Linked DNA regions of Xenopus tropicalis. The protein of the gene in region 1 purifies or fractionates together with the protein of each later gene. This does not show direct contact. Links are inferred from orthologs where the notes say so. Each region holds a gene or a part of one and is shown on either strand. Other genes may lie near its edges.

Region 1 (3,655 bases):
CCTGTTCCTTTGATCCGCTCAGCTCAGAGACAAGCAGAGAAAACACAATCTGTCCTGTAACTTTTTTTTCTGCCTCACCAAATTGTGCTTAAATCACGTCTAGTCAGTGAACATACAAGTCCACATTGCTGAGATTTATGGGGCAATGAAACAAAAGATGGGTCTGAAACAAACCCTCCTGCCCCGACCTCTGAATGTCTTATCATTCCAAGACTTTGCAGGGGGGCAAGCTGCATGGTTTAGTCTAAAGCCACTTAAAACGTGTTACTTAATAAGATTACACTGCTCAGCAATAATTTGAGACTGCCTGTAGAGCCCAGAGCACACGTTTTGCATTCACTCTGTGGGTTTAATGTGTCTGGAGCTGGGCTCTTTTCTTTCTTTGGGAGATGGAATCCTTATTAAGTCGGAGAGCTGGTTCATTTAGATCACAGGTTCCAATTACACTCAGAAACGAGCTCCCTTCAACGCTGTTATTTTATCACTGACATTTAAATATACCCTATTAACTTTCCCTCTAAAAGACAAGTACAGAATAACAAGTGTGACTGCACTGGTTTCAGAACAGCCCTGTGCCCACATGAAAGTATATGTGTGTGTGATATATAGATATAAATGTAGCTACTTAATAAATAATGTCTATTCAATATCAACGTTTCGGCTGACAGAGTCTTAGTGAGCATGAAGGCTTGCTGTGGTTATTCTATGTCTATATATATATAGCAGTACATGAAATGGTTATGCAAACAGATATTACATTTATCAAAATGCCATCTCTCATGTGTCCCTTTTTTTGTACTTAAATGCAGACAAATGTGGAGATACAATAAAGATCACGAATCCCAGCTACCTTACTTCTACTGGGTACCCTCATTCATATCTGCCATCCCAGAGATGCGAATGGTTAATTCAGGCCCCGGAACAGTATCAGCGGATCATGATCAACTTCAACCCTCACTTTGACTTGGAAGACCGGGAGTGCAAGTAAGTCGCAGATTTTTATAAATCAGGGGCGCCATCTACTGGCCAAGTGTCGGCAACTGCAAGCGTTTTCTGCTTCCGCGGAGCGTTGCCAGTGAGTGTGTGCGTATGTATGTGTGTGTGTGTCTGTATATATGTGTGTGTGTCTGTATCTGTCTGTATATGTGTGTGTGTGTCTATGTGTTTGTGTGTATATGTGTGTGTGTGTGTGTATGTGTGTGTGTGTGTGTGTGTGTGTGTCTGTATATGTGTGTGTGTGTGTGTGTGTGTCTGTATGTTAGTGCGTATATGTGTGTGTGTGTATGTGTGTGTCTGTATGTATGTGTGTGTGTGTGTGTGTCTGTATGTGTGTGTGTGTGTGTGTGTCTGTATGTTAGTGCGTATATGTGTATGTGTGTGTGTCTATGTGTTTGTGTGTATATGTGTGTGTGTCTATGTGTGTGTGTCTGTATGTGTGTGTGTCTGTGTCAATGTGTGTGTGTTTGTGTGTATATGTGTGTGTCTGTATGTGTGTGTGTGTCTGTATGTACGTGTGTGTGTGTCAATGTGTTTGTGTGTATATGTGTGTGTGTATGTGTGTGTGTGTCTGTATGTATGTGTGTATGTGTGTGGGGGGGGTCACTGGCAGACTTCTCCTCATTTGGGGATCGGGGTGTATATCAGATCATTTGCTGAAGGCACTTATACTAAATCTAAACGTTCGCTGGGCTCACACTAACCTGTGTTAATGATGTTGTTAACAGGGCCTGGCCTGGTTTTCATCTCATTTATTGGCCTGTTCCCATTTCTTCCCCCCAAATCCTAGCGCTGAGCCCTATCCAGAGACTGAGTCCATTTCTGCGCTGCCAAATTAGACTGAAAGCTCCATTTACCTACTGAGTCGCTTTTCAGTTCTTTTTATGTATGAAATCTGTGTGCTGAATACACCGGGCTAATGTACAGTGCTGTGATATATATTGGCCATTTATACATATATGTTCAGAACAATAAATCTGATCTACTGGTGGAATTGTTGTACCTTTTGGTGGGAGGGATTTCCCAGGAAATTCCAGGTTACAATATACAGATGGAATTTCTTGTGGCTTCTGGTTTTGGAATGTTAGCCTTTGTGCCAACTCACTGGCTGGGAACATGGTACTGTTGTGCATCAGGTGATCCATAGTGCTCCCATTATCAAATGGCTGTATAGTATCATGGTGCTGTTCTATAGCAGCTTGCAGTTGGTTGCTTCTTTAACTTAAACTGCAACCAAGGTGGCATGCTGGGAGTTGTAGTCCAAGAACAGTGGGGGGGGGGGGAGAGGATGCCCAAGTGCTAGACCTTTATAACAGGCATGATATATATATATATATATATTGTTTATCTTCATGGGGTTTTGTGGCCATTCCTTTCACTTCCAGGCAATTGCTGTGGGTATCCTGTGGGATTTTTGGAATTTCTTTGGTGCTAATGGCTTTCCTTGGTATTCCCAAGGGGATAGGGCTCTTGCTGACTTGTACGGTTCAACCTTAACTCCTTCTGTGCCAGATGAATTGTGTTTAGTCTAAACATTCCAAATTACATTTTAGAGGCAACCTTTAATCCAAAAATGAAATGTTGCCCAATGACAGAAAATATAATTCTTAGTAATTTTCCATGATATATTCATTACACAATGCAATGGATTTAAAGTCATGTGTAAATACAATTGCTATTGAAAGCTGGGTTCCTTTAACCCTTCCTGTTCTCATTTGAAACAATGTAAGGCAGGTCTGTCCCCTGGGTCTGTTAATCAGCTGGCTTCTGCTACAGATTTCAATTGCAACTACAATCACAACTAACGTTAAAAGAATTGAATATTTTTTGAGTTTTGGGGTGGAGTTGCCCTTTAGGGATGTTCCATCATCTGCTGTGAATCTCAGCTCCCAGCATCCTCTGCTAGCCGGGACTACTGGGAATGGTAGCTGAGTGGTTGTGCGTCAATAAACAGATTTGACAGAACCCAGCGAATAGATTGCAAGGCAGGGAGTCATACTAGTGGGTCGGTACTGGGTGGGGAAATTCCAGGCGAGCCGCTGCTTAACTTCTAATTAGCCCCTAATGTTTTCTTTCCTGGAAGTGCTCTATTGGGCAGGAGATTATAGACTTACTCATTTGGGTTTAGTATAACTTGACATAAAAGGAATGGAAGTGAACAAAAAGGGGTCATATAAGCCCCCCCCCTACTGCCCCTCCCCAAATATAATTCCCAGACGTCTGTAATCTGGTTCTGCTGTTTGCTTTTCTGGGTCGGCAGCCAGAACCTAGAATTACGGAGCTTTAATCTACTTACCTTTTGTTTATAATTGCTTGTAATTTAGGGATTGATTCTGAAAGATGTGTTTTTATCTGTTCTGTGCCAGCAGCTAGTGCCATTAGCAACTGCCAATTTACCCCTTTAAAACTGCACACATCCGACCCATATTTTGTATGGCTTACTAGAAATGGATGCATGCTGCAGCCTACACTGATTTCTGGGCTGCCCTGCCTTATGCATTCAATATAATTAGCAGCTATGCAGTTTGATTCTGCTCAATGAACAGGATAACCATAGTCCTTCAACCCAGCTGTTTCAAAACTACGAATCCCAGCATGCTGAGGGGGTCTCTGGAGGTTAGTGGCCAGCGATATATGAAAGTGCATCTCCTTTTTAAGT
Region 2 (3,655 bases), on another chromosome or scaffold:
GTAGGGCATACATTTCTATTTTGATATTTATAATACTGGCTTGAGATATACTGTATGCCTTTTTATGCAGCCCGGCCCATCTATGACCTACAAACCTAGACACTAATATTATAAGATCTGCACAAATGTTTCATTCATATTTCATATTAAATTGTAATGCGATAAACATTTTTATTCAGTTTATTCCATAATGGTTATGTCCTGGTATCCCAATATGCATAGTGCACCTTTGCTGTCTACCTTGATTTCTTTAAAGCATGAAAACCCATTTCTATTTTGATATTTATAATACTGGCTTGAGATATACTGTATGCCTTTTTATGCAGCCCGGCCCATCTATGACCTACAAACCTAGACACTAATATTATAAGATCTGCACAAATGTTTCATTCATATTTCATATTAAATTGTAATGCGATAAACATTTTTATTCAGTTTATTCCATAATGGTTATGTCCTGGTATCCCAATATGCATAGTGCACCTTTGCTGTCTACCTTGATTTCTTTAAAGCATGAAAACCCACAAATGCCACAGAAGAAGAGCTATATAAACACTCCTCTTTTCCTTTCTAATTAAAGTCAATGTAGTACATCAAGTCCATCACACAACTGGACCACTGGGGCCCGTTTCAAATTGTAATTCTACGCCCCCCTGTGATATAAGCTGATATCACACAGCTAATCATTTGCTATACCATGCCCTACTTAACAAATTTAACAATATTATAAATTCTCTATGTGCGTGGCCTCAAACCTGTGCAATTTAGCTATGTACATGTGTAGTCATATTGCTCTGTATCTGACACACAGAGCTGCAGGGCATTCACTGGGGCTTCAGGAAATATGTGGCCAGCCCCAACTGGCTATAATAAGTGCGTCCAAGAGACTGCAAGAGGAATGCCAAATATAATATGAAGACTATTGGAAAAACCTTACCATGTACAATCACAGTTGTACTGCTGGTCTTTGACATGAGGCCAGTGTATGCTGTGCAGCTGTAGTTGCCTCTGTCTTTCAATGTAACAGAGTCGATAATAAAGATCCCTGAAAGTTCCAGTCCCCCATGAAGTTCTTTTTTGAGCCCTTTGGTCTCTGCACTTTTCTCCTAGAATAAGAGTTTAAGTTTGACTTAATATTATTTCATTAAAGTCAAAATGTAAAACCTCATGCAAAAATTGAGTGAGAAATAAGTAAGAAGATGGCATTTTCAGGAACATTGCACTTACCATTATTGCAGGATAGTCCCATTTAAAGTCAACCCTCACATTTAGGGGAGTATGAGCAGTGCACGTTAAAGCTAGTTTCTCTCCAACCGCCAGCTGAACCTGAGGATGGGGATTCATGGACAGGCTGTATATCTTAAAACCTGAAGCAAAAAGAGAATATTGCAGGTACATAATAAGCTATAGTTGTGCATATTAAGGGCCCGTGTTGATGCCCATTATGAAATGCATGCAACTTTACAAATGGGAGATGAACTGCATCCATATTGCAGCATTCCTTGCACATAGCAGCAATTACAAAATTGTGTACTACGCATCTCTCCGTAAATAAGGCCCTGTATCATTGAACTATAAACAAATGCCATTAAAAGCCTTTTCATTACATATTTTAAATACAACATTATACAAAACTAAGACAATCCCCACTACTAAACTGGTACAACTCATACTCATAAAAGTATGGCACACTGTTGTAATAGTGCAAATACGTTAATAAAAAATCTTCTTACCTACAACTAATACAAAATAAGAAGGTGATCTATAGACCTCTCCATTGAGCTTGGTTTCACAGGAGACCCAGCTCACAGTCTTTAATAATTCACTTAAAATGGTGAATCCCTTTTTGTGATCCCAGTGTATGCTGTTACCATTAGGATGAAATGTGGAATCTGGATATTTCTGAAAAAAAATCACAGCATAACAAATCAGAATGTACAAAGCACTTTAGATTTACAGTGCAGATCTACAGCAGGCCAATACAGTCGCACTGGTGGGGGGTGCCAGTGGCTAGACAAATGATAGGTATGGCACAGTGTCCTGCAACTATCCTAAACCTGCACATACACAGCAAATACATTTACAACCAGACATGGATTATGGCAAATGCCAGAGGGGATGCTGTAAGATGCCATACAAAGTCACTATTTATTGGACTGGTGGGGGCCGTTTGGGCCTCTGTGTACTTGAAATGCCAGAGCCTATTCTGATTATCAGTCTTGGCCTATTTACAACACAGACTGACACTAACCTAATACCTAAGCAGGACTGGAACCAGTTTCAGACCAAACCCCCAAGCTTTCCTCTTTCTTACCGCACACAGTGTGACATTCAGATCAGGTTTAGAGGCCAAGCATGGTACTGTCACTGTTTTATTCTCTGTGATATAAACAGCAAGAAGTTGTTCACTTATTGAAGGCACAAAGGGAGACCTTTCATCTGAAAAACAAAAAAAATACTTACTTAGACATAACTTTTCATGAATTATTAGCATTATTATTATATTAAGTGATTTTACATCATTCCCTTCCCCAGTGGAGCTTACAATCTAAGCCCTTTTCTCATTCACACAAACACACTGTGGCCAGTTTTATCAGGAGACAATTGCTGAGAAAATAGTTGGCAATAGGGACTAGTTGGGGAAATGTTCCCAAAAGGTAAACTTTGCAATAAACACAGTGCATGTTTTGTTACAGTATCCAAAAAATGTGGCTTTATATCGAGTAAAGATGCAGTATAATAAGCAGACACTTACCCCGAATAAAGACACGAACACTGGCTGTAGCATTACTGTCTTCGTAGTAGCACTTGTAAATCCCGCTGTCATTGGCTACAACCTTGGTAAGTGTGAGCGTCAGACAGTAGGAACTTTCATTGCACTCACTGACAGATAAGCGATTATTAATACTGTTGCTGTGGTTTATTGGCCACGACCAATTCACAGGTCTCTGTCCCCTACAAGAACAAATGTGTTACCTTTAAAGCTTTTCCAACTTGAACTTGTCAAGTAAAAAATAATTTATGTTAACAAATGCAAATAGTCATTTTGTTCTTGCAAGGGTATGCTTGCTTTGTAATGTTGTTGGTAAAGATAATGGCATTGCAGGGTGCTCTTCTTGGTACAGCCCCCATGGAGAAGAATGGAGTTAACTCTTGCATACCTGTACTTGCACAAAAAGGGCATGGCATGGAACACACACTTAATGTGCCCATAGGTAGGAACCAGTCTGGGAGTCACAGCAGGACATAGCAGTGTAATTCTAAGCAAGTTTCCAAATGACATTCATTAAAAATATTCAGTGGCTTTAAAGTTATTTGTAAATATAACTAGTATTGAAAGCAGGATTTGTGTCTCCCTTGCAGGTATCTGTCCTGCTGGTTTGACTACTGAAACAATGTAGCAAAAGCCAGCTGATTAAAAGAATCTTGTGGATCTTCCGGGAAATGGAGTGGTGGAGATTGGAAAATTATTTAGAATTATATTTTCTTTCATCAGGAAATATTAAATATTGTATATGTCCAAATTTTTAACACAAAAATAATTTTTGTCTCAACAATTTTTCATCCAACACAACTTTAGTGTTGACTAAAGAACAATCTATTTCATATTCTGGGGCAGAGGTCAATAATGAGCCGAGTGCGGATATCCCAGAAT
Region 3 (3,655 bases), on another chromosome or scaffold:
TCTTTTATTTATTGTTTAGTATTTTTCCCCTTTAATTAGACAGCCCCATATATATACCCCCTCCCCCCAGTCATACTTTTATTAAAATATAAGGTATCTAATTGGTTGCTACCAGGTAACATTATTTTTCATGTCTGCCTCTAGTGGCACTAGTTAGCATTGCAGCCTCATTGGGTTTCTGGCTTTGTTTCTAAGCAGGGTGCTGCCTATGGATTTTCTTCCCGCAGATCAAAACATAATCGTCTTCTGATGAGAGTGAAGTGTGTGGTTCTGCAATAGGAAAATTAGAGTGTAAGCTCCAGTGAGGCAGGGACTGATAAGATTGCCCATTCTCTGTAAACCCTGCGTAATGTGTTAGCCCAGTCATAGTAATGGTTGCTTACTGGTTCCAGAGCTTGTCTCCAATCATTCAGCGCATGTTTTTTTCCACGCTTGGTCGGTCAGTGAAATGTTAATGTTTTTTTTTTCTATTTCTACAAAGTGTAAGAAATCCTAAGCAGTCTGATTTGAATTTCATATATATTTTTTTTCTTTTCTGGCAGGCGTACTGCGAAAGAGATCCGCTGTAAGACTCCGCAGGGACCAAGCACGGGTAAAGCCGAAATACAAATCCACATCAACCGCGCCACACTGTACAACTCTGAAGTGCATTACAATTACACCGAAGATCCAACCGTGCAAAAGATAGAACCAGAGTGGAGCATCGCCAGGTAAAAACCATCCTAATCCTGATGCTTCTTGTTAAGTGATGCAACTGCAGATGTGTAGGCCTCATTTTGTCCTTTCTTTGTTTTGCCTTTCCTGCTTCTTCCTTTGCTTCCTTAGCTTTCTCCTAAATTACGTGTATACTGGGAATGGTAAAGTGTTCTGATTGCAAAATATAGTATATTAGTGCCCATTTAATAAATATTCTCTGGCCAAAAGGATGAAAGAATGTTGATCCAGTCTTTGATCCCTGGGCAAATGATGCAATCATAATTCAGGATGCCCCAATATGTAAGCCAATAAGCTATTGGATAGGTCTGAAGGGGCTGAATAGGCAGCTTTTATTGGCCAGTGTTAGGGCAGTTTAAATCAACCAAACAAAACAAAATGTATTTGTATGAACTGTTCAACCGTTTGCCCTTAAATTCATACAGGCTACATGTCTGCCCCTGGTACTAATAGGTATTACTAGCTGGCCAGAACTAAGTTGTGCATACTGTTTTAATCACTTTCATATATTTGGAGGTATGAAAGTAATTAATGGGAGGTGTGACTGGCCCTTTCGGCCTGCAGGGCAGATGTTAATACTGTTGGACCATATTGTGCTGATAATACCGAAAGGCCAGTGGATATATCTGTTTAATCTGACTAACCATCCCTGTTCTTGTTCTTTTTTTAGCGGGGGAACCCCTCTCATAGTAACTGGGCTGAATCTGGCAACTATTAAAGAACCCAAAATAAGAGCAAAATATGGAGATGCAGAGAGAGAAAATGTGAGTATCAGAGCAAGTTAAGTTGGTTCTGCTGCTCTTGGTGATTGGTTGAAACATGGCATTGGTTGTGAGATCTTTTGGCAGGGTCCTTTTTCCATCTAGTGCCAGTTTATCAGTGGCCATTTTGTATATAATCTGTATGTTCAATGTATACCCATTTATTTTACAGTTCAAGGGGGTATAGTATGTTGACCCTAACTGGCCTTATTGTAAATATGGCAGTTATGTAAAAGGGTTCTTAGTGAACATTAGTGTACACTCCTAGTTACAACCAAGCTCACAACTTAAGGAAACTACTTTCTGCACAGTGAGATGGCAAAACTTTGGCTTCATTCCTACGTGAAGCTGTGTCTTGCTCTTAACTGGCAGTGGGCAGCATCCTTTAATCTCATATAAACACCCAGTCTGCTGTGCATTTCATCAGCCTTACAATAGCAAGTCAGGAGCTGCTTCTGTGCAAGAGTAGGAAAGTAATGGGGACCCTGCCAGCACTGCTATGTACCAATCACACTGGCTTTTTATTGTATTGCGGCAAGCCTTTCTTGCTACCCTGCCCACACAGAAACTAGTTTAACCAGAGATATCTGCCTAAGACTGGCGATTATTCATTATAATTAATGAACTTGGAGGTTTTTGTTTGCTTATTCTTCAGTGACACTCATGCCATCATGTCTTCCTTTCTAGAACTGCACTGTGTACAATGACACCACCATGGTGTGCTTGGCTCCCTCCGTTGAGAATCCCTTGAGGAGCCCGCCAGAGAATGGGGACCGTCCTGATGAGATAGGTTTCATAATGGACAACGTTCTGGCCCTCCTTATTGTGAACACTACCAGCTTTCTGTATTACCCAGATCCTGTGTTTGAGCCACTGACGGCATCTGGAAACCTTGAGCTGAAGCCTAGCTCTCCTCTTATAATCAAGGTTAGCAGGAGCTTTTTATATATTAATGAAGGAACCAGGGCATGGATTTCTACTAGCCTTGCTACTCCCAAGCTACACCTTGATCTGTACTGAAGGTATAAATCAAAGCCGCTTAGTGTTTCTCTCTCTTCTTTGTAGGGTCGGAATCTCATTCCAGCAGCCCCAGGGAACTTCAGGCTTAATTATACAGTGTTGATTGGTGACACACCGTGTGCCCTTACTGTCTCTGAGACCCAGCTCCTGTGCGAGTCTCCGAACCTTACTGGACAGCACAAAGTCACTGTAAGTGTGGCATAGACTGCCTATATATCACTGTTTGTCATTATAATAATGTTCTTAAAGGCATAGGGGGAGCAGTTTTGATATATGTGCAATAAATTCTACATTGTTTAAAAATGCCATACAGAAATAGGAATAACTGAAAAAGGAACTATGTCTACACATTCCTGTCTGCAGAAACATCAACCTTTCTGTCCTTCATGCCTGTAAATTTAGTTGTATTTATAACACAACTGTACCACAAAAGCATCATAAACTCTGTATGAAAGACTCTATATGTGCCCTGTAGGGTCTTCTACAGTTGCTGTTTGCGCAGATGTTGACCAATTAAGCCAGGGCTTAATATCAGATATCAAAGAAGAAAAGACTCCATGTTGATATAGTTTGGTGCAACTTATCACTGTAAACCTTTCCATGACACTAGCTATGATACTACATAGGCTATTTGTCCATCCCAGGCAGGCAAACAGTGTTTGTCCTAGTCCTACCCATAGTACCTTGTTCCTAGCTGGAGCTTATTGTATTGGATAGGGGCACTCAGAAGAAGAGTATTGATTGGCTGATTGGTGCAGACTCTGCCCATCCACGAAAGCGTCATGATTCAGATATTGGCCCTAAGGTCAAACATTTGGATAAACCTAGTTTAGCCAGGGAGGGTCTTAGGTTGCTGACCCCAAGTACTTACCCAGTTTACATGTATCTTGTGTGTATCTGTGGCATATACCCTAACCAGGCACTCATCCCTTATGTCTCAGATTAAAGCCGGAGGGTTTGAGTACTCACCGGGCACACTGCAGATTTACTCGGACAGCCTGCTGACCTTGCCTGCCATCATTGGAATTGGAGGAGGAGGTGGTTTGCTCTTGCTCATTATAATCATTGTGCTTATTGCCTACAAGAGGAAATCGCGGGATGCTGACCGTACCCTGAAACGGTTGCAGCTGCAAATGGACAATCTGGAGTCCCGTGTGGCA

Evidence for each region.
Region 2: the proteins of nrp1 (region 1) and kdr purify together in Homo sapiens (affinity purification with western blotting; 7 studies listed by BioGRID and IntAct, with this or other methods). This does not show direct contact. The link is inferred for Xenopus tropicalis from reciprocal best matches to the Homo sapiens genes NRP1 and KDR.
Region 3: the proteins of nrp1 (region 1) and plxna1 purify together in Homo sapiens (affinity purification with western blotting; 4 studies listed by BioGRID). This does not show direct contact. The link is inferred for Xenopus tropicalis from reciprocal best matches to the Homo sapiens genes NRP1 and PLXNA1.

What each region holds. Positions count from the first base shown.
Region 1 is NC_030682.2:22,722,560-22,726,214, forward strand, and holds part of nrp1 (neuropilin-1 precursor), read left to right. Parts: intron 1-809; coding exon 810-984; intron 985-3,655. UniProt on the Homo sapiens protein: Cell-surface receptor involved in the development of the cardiovascular system, in angiogenesis, in the formation of certain neuronal circuits and in organogenesis outside the nervous system. Mediates the chemorepulsant activity of semaphorins.
Region 2 is NC_030677.2:40,295,386-40,299,040, forward strand, and holds part of kdr (vascular endothelial growth factor receptor 2), read right to left. Parts: intron 2,956-3,655; coding exon 2,756-2,955; intron 2,440-2,755; coding exon 2,315-2,439; intron 1,903-2,314; coding exon 1,734-1,902; intron 1,368-1,733; coding exon 1,228-1,367; intron 1,107-1,227; coding exon 938-1,106; intron 1-937. UniProt on the Homo sapiens protein: Tyrosine-protein kinase that acts as a cell-surface receptor for VEGFA, VEGFC and VEGFD. Plays an essential role in the regulation of angiogenesis, vascular development, vascular permeability, and embryonic hematopoiesis.
Region 3 is NC_030680.2:134,127,286-134,130,940, reverse strand, and holds part of plxna1 (plexin-A1), read left to right. Parts: intron 1-542; coding exon 543-710; intron 711-1,384; coding exon 1,385-1,478; intron 1,479-2,162; coding exon 2,163-2,402; intron 2,403-2,540; coding exon 2,541-2,684; intron 2,685-3,436; coding exon 3,437-3,655. UniProt on the Homo sapiens protein: Coreceptor for SEMA3A, SEMA3C, SEMA3F and SEMA6D. Necessary for signaling by class 3 semaphorins and subsequent remodeling of the cytoskeleton. Plays a role in axon guidance, invasive growth and cell migration.